3 linked regions of the Danio rerio genome follow. The protein of the gene in region 1 purifies or fractionates together with the protein of each later gene. This does not show direct contact. Links are inferred from orthologs where the notes say so. Each region holds a gene or a part of one and is shown on either strand. Other genes may lie near its edges.

Region 1 (5,477 bases):
GTTTGGTGGCATTTAACTACTATTAGGACTCATTGTTTTTACCCTGCCACATCAAAATCTGCAGCTGGACTCCACATGTACAGTTTGTTAGTGCTTATTTTTGGACTGTTACAGCGGATTTTTAATTCCTCATTAATTATTAAGATGAGTCACCTTAAAGGGTTAGTTCACCCAAAAATATAAATTCTGTTATTTATTACACATCCTCATCTAATAGAAAATCAGCAGTTCAAGTGGGAATGGGAAGATCATTCCACCAACATGAAACGTTGATTAAAAATGTTTTGGAAAGTGACTTGGGTCTTTTTTGTGATGGTGCTCATTTTCTAAAAACCATTATCAAACATTCCATGTTCAACTTCAGTAGTTCAACTGTAATCATAGTATAAATTTGCAGTTGGTGTGAATCATAAGCTCTCGCGGGTCAGATAAATTGATATGGCAGAGTAGGCTGGAATTTGATATTTCATTAATTTGCATATAAAGCACAAATAAACACAACAATAGTTGACCACTGTGCTGTAGAACGAGGCAAGAAGGATATCAAATAGATAAAAATATACTTATAAATACAAAACCCTGCAGACAAAAAAAATTATAAAAGTAGAGTTAAAAGTAAGCCCGCACAGAATCTGTGTGCACAGTAATCCGCAGATTTTAAGCCCATCATCTTTTTCATCTAAGCCCACCAGTCTTTTTATTTACTTGTAATTCTGTGTAAACTTATATTAATTCAGTTTTTTTTTATTAATTTCTGTTATATGATTGACTAATATGAAAATGTTCATATGATTTATTTACTATGCAGTTTGTAAAGTCATATTTTCTGTCTTTTAGTAGATATATATTATAATAGACACTTGCTTTGTTTACCAAATAAGTGGATCTAATTGGATTCACATTGTAAAGTTTCATATATTAAGTTTTTAGTTACGATATTCCCAAAATTTTTCCTTACAAATCCTCAGATTCTTTTTTTACAAAACTCTCGACAGAAATAGCAAAAAATGTCTGCAGATTTTGTCTGGACCTAGTTAAAAGCAAGCATGCAAAGATGCAACTGTAACTTGGATTTAAAATGATTGAAGGAAGATGCAGATATCACAGATAGGGGAGGATTATTCCACATAGATGTTATACATGTGATATAGACATTTGTTTTTACAGTTGTTGATTTTTGACACACAAAAGTAGTTTGGTTCTTTTTCTGTACTTTGCACATATTGGGACTATTGCTAATTATATGGAGGATGAGAAAGCTCTCAGATTTCATCTAAAATATCTTAATTTGTGCTCCTAAGATGACCAATGTTTCCATTGTTTTGCATTAATAAAGATTTACTGTATGCTTTATTGCCATTTTTTTTCTTTCCCCGAAGAATAACAAATGATGCTCGAGAAGATGAGATGGAGGAGAATCTGGACCAGGTGGGCAGCATCATTGGCAATCTCAAAAATCTGGCTTTGGACATGGGCAATGAGATCGACAAACAAAACAAGACCATTGATCGTATCACTGATAAGGTAAAGATACACACACTTACACTGCTGAGTAGATTACAGTACATTATTAGTTACATATTGTATAATGAAAATAGTAGTTTGTAAAGGCCCGGTTGGATCACACGATTTTGGCATGATTTTTTTGACCTTGGGTGTTGTAGAGATTGGTAAACAACAAATAGACGTCAGGACAAAAGATTCCATCGTTTCTTCACCTGTAATGTGGCATAGTTCACGACAACCGATCCCATGCCTGCGACACCTCGCGACACCGTCGCAGAAAGTCTAGCATGTTTATTCTTTTGTTGTTTCTTACGATGATGTCCACCACGTGTGTGGCACGGCCCAATAAGAGCACATAATATACAAGTTATTTTTGTAGGTGCTCCTGTTAATGAGCTGGTCAGGTAATCAAAAAACAGGCTGCAAATTTACAGATGGGTCAGTCACGGGTGGATATGACCAGTCATTGGCTATGCAAACTTTAACTACTTTCTCTAAAATATGAAAGTGTTTTAAGCAATTTTATCTGACAGACTGGCACAAATATGCCCACTTCTCCATTCAGAGTTCTCTCTTCCAGGGGCACCAGCAGGATTTTATTCAAAGATACGCACATATATAGCACCACCCGGCCCCATCATCCCTTATTCTCATTTCAATCTCAAAAAACACTGATGCTTGCTGTCAAGGCTACATTTATTCATTGTCGCAAGTGAGACCGAGAAAATGAAAGCACATCACTGTATTTCAATAATTTAAATTATTAATTACAATAATTTATCATTAATAAAATAGTATAATATAAAATTAATAATTAGGCTAATTTTAATATATTTTTGTTGCTCAGTTATCTACAAAATAAACAAGAATAGCACCTGAGGTGAAGTGCTTCAAAACCGGTCCGCTATAACCTTTGCTTCAGAGCCAAAACTCAAACTGGTTTGTTAAATAAAATATAATCAAGCCTAAATAAAATTAAAGTGAAATATTCACAGTTTCAGAGAAGCCTATATTAAACTGTTTGTCACTGTAAGTGACGAAACCATCCGTTGCGCCGCTCAATTACAGTTTAATTTGTTTAATCATGTATGTTTTTTTTTTTTTTTTTTTTTTACATCTCCCACCATGCAAGTACATACACACTTTAAAACACACAATCACACCTTTAATTATTCTCATTCTTTCTTGCTTTGTCAATATATCGTAGTGTATACTGTTTAATAATAAATTCACATTATTTAATAAATAAATAAGCGGCATTAATTTGTGCCCTCTCATGGTTGAAACGCACAATGTACGGCTGCAGGCGCCACTGCTCTCAACTTTCCAACTGAGTTTGTTCTAATAAAAGCCAGTCCTGCTTATTCAAATGTGTCATTCATAATAACAGTTTAATATAGGCTTCTCTGAAACTGTGAATATTTAACTTTAATTTTATTTAAGCTAGATTATATTTTTATTTACCAAACCAACACAATCTCACGGCAACTCATGTTTTAGCGCTGAAGCATGGGCCTATAGTGAACTTGTTTTGAAGCACTTCACTTTAAAGGTTATTCGTTTTTTTTTTTTTTATCTAGTAGTTAACTGACCAACAAAAAATACATTACAATTAAGATACATTTTATAGCTAACAAAAATCCGTTTCAAAAAGATATTTTTTCCAAGAAACATTTATGAATTATATTTTAGTTTGTGCCCGTCCAACTGTGCGGTGATGATTTGATGCGCTCCGTAGAAAATAAGGATTTAATTAATTCTTCACTGCTTCACAGCTGCTGATGTTCTTTCATTTCATGTTCAGGCAAGGGAGTGTTTAATAGAAACATTGGCAGAAAAATATACAATTTCAAAGAAAATATATTCATATTAAAAAAGAAACATAAAAGTTTGATCCTATCAATGTCATAACAAATGCCTTTAAATAGTTATTAGGCCAAGTTGTCAGCCAGCATTAGTGTTTATTGAGTTTGAAGTTAATTATATTGAGATAAGAAATATTGTTACAGCAACACTCCAATACACCACTTATCTCATTTTTGATTGCGACTTGTAAAAAGCATTTACGTTCTTGTCCTTTTTTATGAGAAATTTTCCAAAGCTTTAAAGACACCTGACTCTTCATTTAATAAACACTTTATTTGCGACACACACTCTGCCAATTTTATGTTTTTAAGTCATTTAATTCAAGTCATTTTAAGTCATAAGTTTACATATAACTTGCAGAAAAAAATAGCATTTTGCATTTAGTACTGGCCTAAACAAGCTTTTGCATCAACAAATTCATAATCATTACTTTTGCCGGTGCAAGTTTTATGGATGCGCTTGAACACGGAATAGGCTATAAGCATGTATAATTTTGCATCATATCGAAGGAATCGTAAGTTTGGTCCTATCCTAACGAATGCTCTTAAATAATGTAGTTAGTTGTCTGCAAGCATCAGTGTTTATTAAAATTAAAATAAGATAAAAAATAATAAACAAATTGAAATCGAGATTAAAAAAATATATTGTTATAGCAACATTTGTGACTGCTTTGAAATGACACCCACGACAAGTCAAGATTTTATCAAGAAAAAAAATTAAAAATCGCATGATCTGACATAGTTACTTTCGTAACCGACAATAAAAATCGTATGATCTGACCGGGGCTTAAAGCAATCCATGTTTTGTTTACTTTTGGTCTTGAGACTTACTCTAATTAGATGTTCTTTTGTTAATTATTGTTTATTATTATTAATATTAGTAGCATGTATGCTGTTTTGATTGCCCAAACCTAAGCATAACTACTGCAACCAATATACTTGATGGACTTCTTTAAGTAGCAATGATTGCATTTATTAAAGGAAAACATAAATTATGATACCAGAATAATATAAATAATGGTAATATAAAGATAATTGTAATCATTCATAATACTTATATGAATAATACACATACATATTTCATGTTCGGCCTATAACGTAACAGGGCTATTAAATGTGTTATTTATTATTATATTGAAAATGTAAAGTGGAAAAATGTTTGGGGGTCCCAGTTGCTTTCTTGGATGCCTATAAGCTGAAAATGTTTGAAGAATATTAATATTATTATAGTATTTAAACTGTATTTTTAATATATAATTAACTCTACATATTTTGCTTTATATAAATGCATGTTCAGCAGTAGAATAAATTGCCATTACCAGTAACCTCTATAAAATATTAACGCCTACCTTTTATATGGTTAAATTACAGCATTCAGACCATCCGTGGCTACACAGTAATGATGTAATTGTGATTTATGGCTTAAGATTTTAGAAAACTGATAAAACCTGGCCTAACATTAGCTTTTTTGTAGGCAATATTTGAAGAATATTTGAAGAAGCTACCATACCATAGTTTATCGTCATATTCCTTTCTAGAGTTATATTGCTTTGGTACTCCCTTTATACATAAAATAATTCATAAATAATCCTAAAAATAGTTTTAGGATTTTTTTCTTCTTCTGTTGAACACAAAAAAAGATAGTTTAAAGAACGTTGGAAAAATGTAGACATTTATTTCCTTTGTAGGAACAAAAAGTGCTATGCAAGTCAATGGCTGTTTTTTTTTTTTTTTCTACAAAGTTCTTCAAAATACAGTATCTTCCTTTGTGTTCAACAGAATATATTCTTAAGTTTATGAACACCTAATTTTTTATGAAACAGATATGGAACAAGGGGAAGATGAGTAAATCGAGGCAGAATTTATACCTTTAATGCAATTGACATGATAATAATTAATACAATAATGATTAATATGAATTTACCCATAAAATATTCTACTAACTATTTTCCCCAGGCTGATATGAACAAAGCTCGCATTGATGAAGCCAACCAGCGAGCCAACAAACTTCTGTAGAGAATAGACACTGCCAGCATCGCTCGGGAGCCTGATTGTTTAATCGCAAACACACACATACACTCAAACACACACATTTGCTTCACAGTG
Region 2 (6,535 bases), on another chromosome or scaffold:
TAAACACAGGACAGAATTTCAACTGATGGCAATGATATGAGATTTTCAAAATATACTAATCGACTCCAAGAATATTTTCAACAATATTTAAAAAAACTCCTATTCCCTATATAGTACCTTTAGTACCTTTTAGGCAGTGGAAAGCAAGCCTGATAAAGGTGACCCGTACCAACGGTTACCGTACCATACAGTACTGTTATAGTCAGTGGAAATGGGCCATATAAGACAAACATGTGAATAGGCAAGAAAAGTCAAGCTTTTAAAACCGCCAACATTTTCTGCTATACCATTCCTATGGTATATAAGAGTTTCTTTTTTATGTTTTGTTTAAAGTATTTTATATAACAGTATCTCAAGCAGAAAATGATATCCAAAGAATTAAAATTTAAACCCCATTTTAAATTGTAATGAAATCTGTGACAGCAGAAGTCTGTGACAGCAGAAGTCTGTGACAGCAGAAAGCAGAAGTCAATGATTCATTTAAATTATTTAGCCTAACATGTTTACTGTCCCAACATATTTAAAAAGCTTCTCAAGAACACACTGTGATCAAAGCAGAAAAAAAGTTTTAGTTTTTTACCTAGACATTTAAAAAGAACATATGTTAGAGCAGTAATCACAATACCTGTGATATTTTTATCTAAGGTTATCATACATCAGAATCTTATACCGGCCTATGCCTCAATGTGAATGAAGAAAATCATTAACCCACTCTCCAAACCTGTCTTGAGTTGGTTTCTTCAGTTGAACACGATACATTAAGATATTTTGAAAAATGCTGTAAACTGGTAACCATAGATAGTAGATACCAACAGATTCAAGATTCCAACATTATCAAATGCGTCTTACTTTGTGATGACCAGAAAACAGAAAAGCAAAACTTTGAAACCAAATAGTAAATAGTTTATAAAATGTTCTTCTAGGGTGAACTATCTCTTAAATTTTAATATGTGAATAAAGTTATTGTTTATAGTATATTTTAAAAAATGCACTGAGCAATTGATAAACACAGAGGTGGACAAACTACGGCCCGCGGGCCATATGCAGCTCGCTGAACACTTTCATGCGCCCGCCAGGGAGTTTTTAAAATGCTGCTTCTGAGTAACGGTTTAATTTCAGAATTAGTAAATTAATGATGCAATACAAGTGAATACCATTTGATGGCAGTATTGCATGCAGTACAGTTAGTGCAACTAGAATTAGAACACACTCTCGGATATTACAATGCACTCGACCTTTTATGACTGAAAAGGAGTCAGGGAAAAATTTTTACTTTGAATGTCGTGTGTTTATGAAAGAATGGACAACAAAATACTTCTTCACCAATACGGGACAGAAAGCTGTAGGTCTAATATGCCAAAAAAAATATTGCTGTTTTTAAGGGCTACAACCTAAGAGGCCGATCACACTGAACGCGCATTTACATTCCAAAAACACAAGGATGCTCTGCACTGCCTTTTTGTTGACAAGAAAAAAGGAGCACACTGCGCTTTTTTTATGTTGCTAGTCAAAGACTGGATCAGCTGGGTATTTTGCGAGAGTGTTGCAGTTAATATTAATGTAACGTTATTTTCAGGCTCATTGTTCACGTTAACACTCATAATGACATGACTTGGAATAACAAAGACTAAGGCCCCGTTTACACTAGTGCGTTTTAGTTTTAAAACGGCGTTGTAGAATGAAAACGATCCGCATCCACACTAGCGTTTTACCCAGCGTTTCTGAACTGCTCTCCGTCCACACCAAAACGCTGAAAACGCACATCACGTGACCACACAGACACACTTGGGCAAGCGCTCCAGCATTTCTACCCAGATGAGAGCTCTGCTTGTCGGACTGCTCATCAAGCATCTCCCGCTGGATCTAATCTCACTATATTTGCTAAACGTGATATTTCATTCATGTTGTTGTCTTTATCTAACGACATAGGCCAATTCCCTGACTTTGGTCATTGGAATCTATTAACTTACTTGTTCACGGGTAACATGTTTTGGTTAAGCGCAAAGATAAGTTAATGATTAATCCAGGTACATTGACTGATCGCTTGCCTTTATTTCCTACAATGTATAAACTTATTGTATGTTATACTTTTATAATTATCGATTATTAAAACTGATATTCAGCAAAAGAGAGGGTGCGTTTCGTATTTTCACTGAAATTGAAAGGAGGCAGTTGTTATAAGGCTCCGTTTTGTTATAAATATCCACACAGTGAAGATGACGCTCATATATGCAACACAACGCCTCAACATTTCTGCTGTCTGTTAAGTTGCTAATATTAAAAAGAAAATAGGCAGTTCCTTAAATCATGTTTATATTTTATTGTTGAGAAAGTGAAACAACGTAGCCAAGGTGATGTGAATGAAGTTATAAAGTACACTGTTCCCTTTGAAGATTTACGCGTGTCCTCGGTATGTTTTCCATATCAAACTGAGAAAGGGGAGACTGCAGCCTTGATCAAACTTGCGAAGTCTGAACTTACAAGAAGAGGATGCGAGACTGAACTGTGTGTGGGCTACTTAATATTGAGGAAAAGCCCCAATCAGATAGGCAAACGTTTCCAGCCCCGCCTCCGTTTTCAGATGTCTCCGTCTTTCCCCATCCACACTGAGACGGAGCAGCAGCATTTTAGAATGAAAACGGCCTCTCCAGCATTTTCAAAAAGCTCTGTTTTCGGCGCTCGAGAACTCCGGCGTAGTGTGGACGGATGGCGTAACCGTAGCAAAACTTATGCGTTTTCAAACTAAAACGCACTAGTGTAAACGGGGCCTAAGATTCTTCTTCCGTTTTATCTCATAGTTTTATAATGATTGATATGAGCATATTAATACAAGCTCAAATGAGATTGTTGTGAATTTGACTCAAAATATATAATGGTTGCTGGTTAAATGTGTTAATTTTTTTACACAGAGTATATTTTCCATCCATACATCCACTTTAAAAAGTTCTTTTGTCAAAGATTTGTGGTTTTATCAAGTTTTAAGATGATTGATCTGTATTTTCTAAAAGAAGTGCAAATTAGATTATTGTAAATTTGACTAAATAGCAAACTTTAAGAATTATTTTTAATGTGTTAATATGGGATTTTGTCTATCAGACAATATCTTTTCTATTCTTCGCTGCAAAATTATTACATCATTATCAGTATTACATTCTATTAGAGATTATTTTATTGTTTTATGATAATTGATAAATATAAATAGCAGAGCAAATTCATTTTACTTGTCAATTTGACTCGATAATAATTATTTTAAAAATCTGTTTTGTGTTAATCTGACATGTTTCTGTCCGATATTACATGTTCTAAGCATACTGCCACTATAAATAAAAGATATGTTTTGAAGGATTTGGCATGTGGCCCTTTACTTGGTTTGCAAAACGTGAAGTGGCCCTCTGGTCTAAAAAGTTTGCCCACCACTGGATTAACAAAACTGATTGAAGAACAATCATTTGTGAAGCTTGTAAGTTATAACTTGTTTGTTGATTAATTTGCCGCAGCTTTGCCAAATACAAACTACATCCTTTTAACTCACTCAAAATTAAAATAATTGTACACTTAAAACAAAACAAATATGTTATTATAATGGTGATATGTCTGTGGTTTGTGTATGCTTAATGTCTAAAGTTTCCACAAACTTTTATCAGTCAAAACAAACTGTAAGCAGTTAGCATGTAAGTTAGCGCTAATGCGAACATAAACACAAATCTCTTTTAAACACTCAAACGGACATTAAACTTCACTTACGGTGTCATAATCAACTATCCCAAATAAAAGCAACCGAAAACAAGACCGAAAGTAAATTAAAGTAAACAAATTGTCAACAAACTGAAGCTAAAGCTAAGCTAAAAGCTAACCTGTTGCTTTGGCCGTATTCACACCCATTAGAACACAACACAAACTTTCCCAGCACATCAATATTTAGGTATTAAAAAAAAAACAAAAGCAAAACATATATCATCACATGTTCATATCACATCGCTGAGCTAGTGCAATTTTAATTTTACTTACATGGTTGTTGAGTTGATGTGTGATTTGTGAAGGCCCGCTGATGATGATACAACTGTTATTACTGTGTAAGCGAGTGAGCGTCAGCGCGCGCGTGCACGTAGAATATAGCTCACGCACACACACAGTGAAAGTTTTCCCCATCATATAAGTAATTTCATAGGTTATAATAAAAATATACAGTCATTGTAAAACTCTCTCAATTCAGTTCAATTCAAAAACTGCTTTATTGGCATGACATGTTACAAATATATTCATTCATTTTCTTTTCGGCTTTGTACTTCATTAATCAGGGGTCGCCACAGTGGAATGAACCGCCTACAAATGTATTGTCAAAGCACTAAAGTTTACATTAAAAGAACATACATAATAAATAGTTTAAAAACACACTAAACACAGTAAACAGTAGTAGTAGTAGTAAAATAATAATAATAATAATAATAATAATAATAATAATAATAATAATAAAGATGATAATAAAAAATAATGATCTAATAATCTAATGATGATAATAAGATCTCTATTTCTCTCTCTTTTTCTCTCTATTCTTATATTAAGACTAGCAAAAATGGCAATATACATTAGTATAGGAGGAACAAGATTTTGTGTGAGACCATTTATAAAGTTGAACTTATTTTTAAAAGGCTTATTAGAGCAAGAATTAGACATGATTTTAATTTTTATTTGTCAATGAAAGAGTTGAACAAGTTTGAAGACATGTGGAGTGTAAAAAATGTTGTGTTGGGCTGAAAATAATGTATGGTTTTTGATGAAAATATTGTGTGATTTAGAAATTTGTTTAAATCAATGAAACATGTTGTAGTTTAATTTTTTATTAAATGAAGGTGTATTCAATTTCAAAATTTTCTCTCTCAAACAAACACACACGCACACACAAACACAGATAATTAAACTACATTTAACAGCTATGGAAAAAATTAAGACACCATTGGTCTAAATTTTAATATTTTTATTTGAAAATTTAAACATGCTAATCACAAACCTTTTGTAGAATAAACCAAATATTAAACCTTTAATCAAACACATACCATCGAATATTTATATATACCTAATCATTTTATACAAATATAAATTAAATTATTGTTTTGCTGATAAGTAAGGTGTAGTGTCATCTACACTATTTGGTATAAATATATATATTTTTAATTATAAGAAATTAGCCTATATAAAGTATGTACACACACACACGCACGCACGCACCACGCACGCACGCACGCACGCACGCACGCACGCACGCACGCACGCACACACACACACACACACACACATATATATATATATGTGAATATATATATGTACATATATATATATATATATATATATATATATATATATATATATATATATATATATATCAGAATTCATTATATATGTAAGTCAGAATTATTAGCCCCTCTGAATTATTAGACCCCGTTTATTTTTCCCCCAATTTCTGTTGAGAAGATTTTTTCAACAAATTTCTAATCATAATAGTTTTAATAACTCTTTACTAATAACTGATTTATTTTATCTTTGTTATGATTTGACATGACAGTATATATTATTTGACTAGATTTTTTTCAAGACACTTCTATACAGCTTAAAGAGACATTTAAAGGCTTAACTAGGTTAATGGTAACTAGGTTAGGGTAATTTGGCAAGTTATTGTATAACGATGGTTTGTTCTGTAGTCTATCGAGAGAGAAAAAATAATTAATAATAATTTTGTCCTTAAAATGCAAATGAGATTTTCTCCGGAAGAAAAAATATTATCAGACATACTGTGAAAATTTCCTTGCTCTTTTAAACATAATTTGGGAAATATTTAAGAAAGGGAATTATATATATATATATATATATATATATATATATATATATATATATATATATATATATATATATATATATATATATATATATATATATATATATATATACTGCAACATTGTTGAACATTGAGTACACCCCATTTTGAAAATTAATATTTTTATCCATTTCTCAGTAAATATATGCATCGTATTTTGGTGCATTTAAACAAAACAGATTCATTAAACGGATATATTTATTAATTTAATATATTTGAGTCACCAAACATATTTATAAATTGAAAGATAGCACAACTAAATTCAAGCAAAATATTGCAAAAATAAATTACAACCTATAAAATTTCAACTAAATTTCTAAAAATGTTTTGCTTCTTTTGATGTTTCCTCTTTTTAAAAAATTGTATTTAATATTTTTCTATAAATTTGAATGTACTATTTATTGGAGTGTTATCGTAAGTTATTTTGTTAGATAAGCTCCACACTTGGCTTCAGTACTGACTAAACTAATGATTATGCACAAATATAATATTTTAGCTTCCTATTAAAAATATGAATTTAAAAGAGAGATTTATGCGGGGTGTACTCATATATGCTGAGCACTGTATATATATATATATATATATATATATATATATATATATATATATATATATATATATATATATATATATCTTATATAAATTATCTTTAAAGGCTGTTCTTCT
Region 3 (6,753 bases), on another chromosome or scaffold:
AGCCATCTATCTGTAAGCTTTGAAACAGGAACTTCAATTTTAATAACAAAAAACTATTAAACCATGTAAAAAAATAAAGTTTCAATTTAGTATTGTTGAAAACTCATCACATTCAACATTTAATCACACTCAGCCCATCTACCCAGATGAGAGCTCTGCTAGTCGGACTTCTCATCAAGCATCTCCCGCTGGATCTAATCTCACTATATTTATTAAACGGGATATTTCATTTATCTTGTTGTCTTTATCTAACGACATATTCCCTGACTTTGGGCATTGGAATTTATTACTTGTTCTCAGGTAACGTGTTTTGGCTGAGCGCAAAGATAAGTTAATGATTAATGTAACCACGTACATTCTGTATATTGACTGATCGCTTGCCTTTATTTCCTATAATGTATAAACTTATTGTATGTTATACTTTTAAAATGGCCATTATCGATTCTTAAAACTGATATTCAGCAAAAGAGAGGGTGTGTTTCGTATTTTCACTGAAATTGAAAGGAGGCAGTTGTTATCGGCTCCGTTTTGTTATAAATATCCACACAGTGAAGATGACGCTCATCTTATGCAGCACGACGCCTCAACATTTCTGCTGTCTAAGTTGCTAATATTAAAATGAAAATAGGCAGTTCCTTAAATCATGTTTACATTTTATTGTTGAGAAAGTGAAACAACGAAGCCAGGGTGATGTGAATGAAGTTATAAAGTACATGGTTCCCTTTGAAGATTTACCCGTGTCCTCGGTATAATCTGCTTTTCCATATCAAACTGAGAAGAAGAGACTGCAGCCTTGATCAAACTTGCGAAGTCTGAACTTACACGGAGATAATGCAGGACTGAACTGTGCGTGTAAAGCAGGTCGCACACCAGAAGCGACGCTCGGCGGCGCGCCGCGCAGCGCCACGCAGCGCCATGTATTTTAGAATTCTAATCATAGGTTTCTATCAGGATACACACACCGGCGGCTGTCGGCGGCGCCCGGCGACGGCTCAGGACGCAGTTCATTTTTCAGCCGCGCCACAGAGCGTCATCTGATTAGTTTCATGTTAAATATCATTCGAATGTGCGCGTCTGGTGTGCGATATTACTTTAATCTGTCATGTACGCGCCGTGTCGCGGCGCCGAGCGGCGCTTCTGGTGTGCGACCTGCTTTAGAGTTTTCCAGCTCTTTTCATCCCCGCTTCTAGCAGCACACTCCATTTCCGCATTACTGGATCTGTAGCAACAACAGACCGCAAGGGATGATGGTCAAGCATGGGCTGATGGCAATTGTAGTTTTCGTTACCTCCCGTTCGCTTCATTCGCCTGAGCAAATTTTCTCAGAAGACCTATAGTTTTACCGAGTCATGCGACTTCGGTAATATCGAAAAAAATTAATATTGCGGTATGACGGTATTTACAATACCGTTACATGCCTAGTGTCCACAGAACATCTTTTTGCAAAGAAACTGTGATTAAAACATATTACAAGTCTCTGTGATTAACTGCACATGAATAATTAATTTTATAAGTTTAAAACGTTTTTAAAGCAGAGCACGTTTGTAATAAATAGTAAAATCGGAAAAGAGTAAAAGGAGTAAAACATGTAATTCTTAACTGCTATAATCACCACAGGCGCATAGTGTCAGTAAACGCACATATTTGTGTGTGTACTGCAAACAACATTTGTGTGAGACTCATCATTTCATCAAAAGCTTGAATAAACTCCACCACAAATACATCAAATAAACTTACTTGGTATTTTTCACTCGTGACCTTATTTCAGCCTTATCCCTGTCTCTCTCTATCACTGACTGCTGTTTATCTGACGTATTTATCTGACGCAGGAGAAGCTGATACGCAATGTCAGAGTGGTGGGCGGGGAGAAGCAGTACATTTGCACTTAAGGAAGCTACAATTGCAATCAGAATTATTAAACCCCCAGAATTTTTAGCCCCACTGTTTATTTTTTTCTGATACATCTTGTCTGTTTAACGGAGAGCAGATTTTTTCAACACATTTCTAAACATAATAGTTTTAATAACTCATTTCTAAAAACTGATTTATTTTCTCTTTGTCATGATGACAGTAAATAATATTTGACTAGATATTTTTCAAGACATTTCTATACAGCTTAAAGTGACATTTAAAGGTTTAACTAGGTTAATTAGGATAACTAGGCAGGTTAGGGTAATTAGGCAAGTTATTGTATAATGATGGTTTGTTCTGTAGACGATCGAAAAAATATAGGTTAAAGGGGCTAATAATTTTGACCTTCAAATGGTTTTTAAAAATTAAAAACTGCTTTTATTTTAGCCAAAATAAAACAAATAAGACTTTCTCCAGAAGAAAAAATATTATAAGAAATGCTGTGAAAATTTCCTTGCTCTGTTAAACATCATTTGGCAAATATTTAAAAAAGAAAAAAGATTCAAAGGGGATTAATTAATTCTGATAGCAACTGTACATAATCCTCAGACACTAAAATGGATAGATTCTACATCGGGGGTTGGCAAATTTGGTCCTGGAAGGCCAGGGTCCTGCACAGTTAAGATCCAACTCTAATCAAACACACCTGCTTATAGATTTTTTTCTGCTTATAGATGTTTGACTAGTGTTGGAGCTCAACTATACAGGACACCAGCCCTCCAGGACCAAGACTGCCCACCCCTGTTCTACATTATATAATAAATAATCTGATGGGTATTCGAACTGAAATTTTACAGACACATTTTGGAGACACCACAGTCTTATCTTACATCCATCTAAGGTGCCATTTAATCAGGGCAGTTTTCTACTATAGGGGTAGTTTAGAGATCTGAATATTAAACTAAAACTTTAAAGCATCAGTAATGCATCATATTTACATTTAGAGAGCATATTGGAGTATTACGTTCTATTCAAGATTCCTTATGTGTATTTAAAAAGGTCTTAAACCTACAGAAACTGTTATCTATTTCACGTAATAAAATCGAAGAGAAAGTATACGTTAACATTATATTGAAACTTTCGTTTATATTTTCCAGAACAACAGACCACAGAGTTAAGGGATCAGAAAAATATCGCTCTGTAAACATGTTTTGTACTTTAAATGAGAATAAACATGCGTTGTGGATGTGACAAAAAAAAAAGTCTGCGGGTTTACACTTCCTAATCTGCAATAGCCTCTCTGAATATCACACTAACTGTACCCAAAAAAAACAAATACTAATACTACTAATACTTTCCTTCTTAGACTTTACAGACCTGAAACTTGCCTATAGCACTTATTCATTGTTGCTCTTAGTTGTGTAAATTGCTTCCTTGTTCTCATTTGTAAGTCGCTTTGGATAAAAGCGTCTGCTAAATGACTAAATGTAAATGTAAATGTACAGTACACAACATACTTTGTAGAACTTTTGAGAATTAAACTGCACAACCCAAAAGAAGCAATGCTAATCAAACTGCTATAAGTTGGCTCTCTATAAAACAAAAATGATTGGTTTTATTTAATTTAATATTTTTACATTTATGAGAAAAAAGTGTCGTTATGAATGTGACATCTCTCCGTTATGAATGTGACAGATGTGAAATTGCCACTTGTGTGACTTTGGTAAATAGAATAGTTTGAAAACATCAACAGATGCATTTTTCTGTATTTCTAAAATACTGTAAAATACTTACTTACACAAAAACCCAGAAACGGTTCTCGTATTTTGGTAAAAACCTAATTTTTCTCATGGCAAGGTTGACATTTGCACGTAATTGCTCATATCCATATATATCATGTATGATAAGTAATAATTTAGTGTGTTTTTTTTTTGCATTAATGTATTGCTAATTATATGTTCCCTGCTGTTATTAGTTTGTGTTTTCTCAGGTTAATGTGCTGTTTAAATAAGTCCAGTGATGTTGTAACTTGTTGAAGTGAAAGTCAGCTGACAACTAGCAAAGCATTCAGTCACATTTCAGTCTCGCCGCCTATTTCATAATCAGTTTTATGGAAACATTATGTCAGGTCACAAGACAAGAAATGACAATTCGCTCTATATGTATTTGTAGATTCAGATTTAGATATATACAAGATAATGCTGACAATATATTACGTTTCTAACAGTCAAACTTTGCGCCATTTAACGTTATGTTATATTACGACTTCTCAGCGGGGAAAAAGAGATTAAAGTAGCTTTACAGCTTTAACATACTGTATGGGTTCACAATTCACTAACTAATAATCTTAAATGGCGAAACAAAACGTTCTTTGGAGTTTTTCCACTCTGAAAATAACTTTTATTAAGTTCGTTTTTGACAGCTAACTCACTAGCATGCTAGCTGTCTGTTTACCCCCGGCTGGCCTGTCAGAACTCAGTTATAAAAGTGATAAAAACCTACCCAAACAGGGAGCCAAAGAACGACTGCGAGGATTTGACTTTTTTCTCGGCTTCTGCCATGAGAGCCGTGGCTTCTTTCTCCTTACCGGTGTTATCCATGAATATTGTTTACAGTTCAACTTTAGCAGCAAACTCTGGAATCCAGCCACATCAACACATCTCTGCGGAAACCTCCAACATGTCCGCCTGCCGCTTAAATTCAAAATAAAAGCTCAATTTCATTATTCATTCAAAAGCAATTATTTATTTGGTGTTCGATCGAGTTCATTGTTAATATTTATTATAATAAATTTTTTTAAACAATTCTTTAAAATATTATCGTAAATTTTATAATTTACTTTTAAAAATTGGCCAGACAATTGGCCAGAATAATTTCATTTGATCTGATTTAGGATTACTCCATGATTACAATATTGAAAATATAGATTTTTTTAACTCTTTTTAGGTTAAATCATTGCTACTGAGTTGTCTAAAAAGTGATATAATGTCTGAAAAAGTTATAAATTACAATGGCATCAGTACTCCATAATTAATAATGTTTACATCACATTATTATTATTATTATTATTATTATTATTATTATTATTATTATTATTATTATTATTATTATCATTCATTCATTTTCTTTTCTGCTTAGTCCCTTCATTAATCTGCCACAGTGGAATGAACCACCAACTTATCCAGCATATATTTTACGCAGCGGATGCCCTTCCAGCTGCAACCCACCACTGGAAACGTCCACACACACACTCATTCACACACATACATTATGGACAATTTAAATTTAGCCTACCAATTCACCTATAGCGCATGTCTTTGGACTGTGGGGGAAACTGAGCACCCGGAGGATACTCACGCAAACAGGGGGAGAACATGCAAACTCCACACAGAAATGCCAACTGACCCAGCCGGGGCTCAAACCAGCGACCTTCTTGCTCTGAGGCGATTGTGCTACCCATGGAATGAACCGCCAACTTATCAAACATATGTTTTACACAGCTGATACTCTTTCAGCTGCAACCCACCAATGAGAAACATCAATACACACTCATGCACACACATACGGCCAGTTTAGCTAATTCGATTCACCTATAGCACATGTCTTTGGACTGTGAGAGATAATTTAGTATTATTCCATGATTATAGTATTGAAAATATTAATTTCTTAACTCTACTTAGTTGCCAAAAAATAATATAATGTCAGAAAAAGGTTATAAATGGCAATGGCAAATGCATGATTAGTTTGAAAATTTTACATTAGTTTTATTATTGTGAAATTAGGATATATATCATAAAATACATATCAATGCCAGTTATATATTTTAGATACAGTTATATCTCGCTTTAAATTGTCTTTCAGATTATTGACATATTCACTAATCAATGTTCTTTAGTTTTAACTGGAGGTGAACAAATAGCATCCATCAAAAGTATTTTTGTAAACCTACATTTTAGCTATTTTCTAAAAAATTCTGAGTGGATGATCAAGTAAACCAAGTTGCTTCAGGCCAGTAACAGATCATCTTAAAATAACAATATAAAAATATTAACATTTAATAGACTTTAAAAATAAAAAATCACAAAAATCTGGACTGAATTATAACTAGGGCCAGACGGATTCTGCATAAATTTTTTGCTATTTCTGTGGAGAATTTTGGTAAAAATCTGCGGATTTCTGCGGAATTATTTTGGAGTATCATAACTAAAACCTTAATATGTGAAATAAAAAATTAAATCTTTTTAACCTTTATTTAATGTTTTAAATGCAAATCCATTTAGATTCACTTTATTTGTTAAACAAACCAAGTCTCTCATAAAATATATCTAGTAAAAGACAGAAAATATCACTTTACAAACTGCATTGTAAATAAAACAGATGAACATTTTCACATTAGTCAATAATATTACTGTAATTAAAAACTGAATTAATATAGATTTACACACATTTACTCAAGTAAATAAACAGAATTAATGATGGGCTAAAAATCTGCGGAATTCTGCGAGTGCAGATTCCGTGTGGGCCTAGTTATAACTAAAGGTTAAAACTGAACAGGTGGGCCAGCCCAGCTCTGGCCCACACAATCAGGTTTTGCTTGGCCCACATGCTGTAGTGAATTACGGTACATGACTGAACCAAATCTTGCCACCTCTGCCAAACCCAGGCCATGTTTGGCCCATATGCTTTATGCGATGTGCCAGCTTTATGCCAAATCTGGGCTAGAATTCTTTGCTATCTGGGGAGCTATAAGGCTACAAAAATAATTCAAAGGCTAAAAAAGATATTTGGAAATATGATTTAATTTCAGGCTGTTTGACAAATAAACTAAGGGTTTGGTGATTTTTTTTTGTAGGCACTGCATATAAAATATAAGCCAGTGGGATTTATTTGGGTGAGAAATAA

The links.
Region 2: the proteins of snap23.1 (region 1) and vamp3 purify together in Homo sapiens (affinity purification with western blotting; 6 studies listed by BioGRID and IntAct, with this or other methods). This does not show direct contact. The link is inferred for Danio rerio from reciprocal best matches to the Homo sapiens genes SNAP23 and VAMP3.
Region 3: the proteins of snap23.1 (region 1) and napab purify together in Homo sapiens (affinity purification with mass spectrometry; 4 studies listed by BioGRID and IntAct, with this or other methods). This does not show direct contact. The link is inferred for Danio rerio from reciprocal best matches to the Homo sapiens genes SNAP23 and NAPA.

The regions. Positions count from the first base shown.
Region 1 is NC_133192.1:35,130,765-35,136,241, forward strand, and holds part of snap23.1 (synaptosome associated protein 23.1), read left to right. Parts: intron 1-1,379; coding exon 1,380-1,524; intron 1,525-5,327; coding exon 5,328-5,387; 3' UTR 5,388-5,477. UniProt on the Homo sapiens protein: Essential component of the high affinity receptor for the general membrane fusion machinery and an important regulator of transport vesicle docking and fusion.
Region 2 is NC_133186.1:42,676,840-42,683,374, reverse strand, and holds the start of vamp3 (vesicle-associated membrane protein 3), read right to left. Parts: upstream 4,135-6,535; 5' UTR 4,011-4,134; coding exon 4,009-4,010; intron 1-4,008. UniProt on the Homo sapiens protein: SNARE involved in vesicular transport from the late endosomes to the trans-Golgi network.
Region 3 is NC_133193.1:47,630,540-47,637,292, reverse strand, and holds the start of napab (N-ethylmaleimide-sensitive factor attachment protein, alpha b), read right to left. Parts: upstream 4,517-6,753; 5' UTR 4,452-4,516; coding exon 4,354-4,451; intron 1-4,353. UniProt on the Homo sapiens protein: Required for vesicular transport between the endoplasmic reticulum and the Golgi apparatus. Together with GNA12 promotes CDH5 localization to plasma membrane.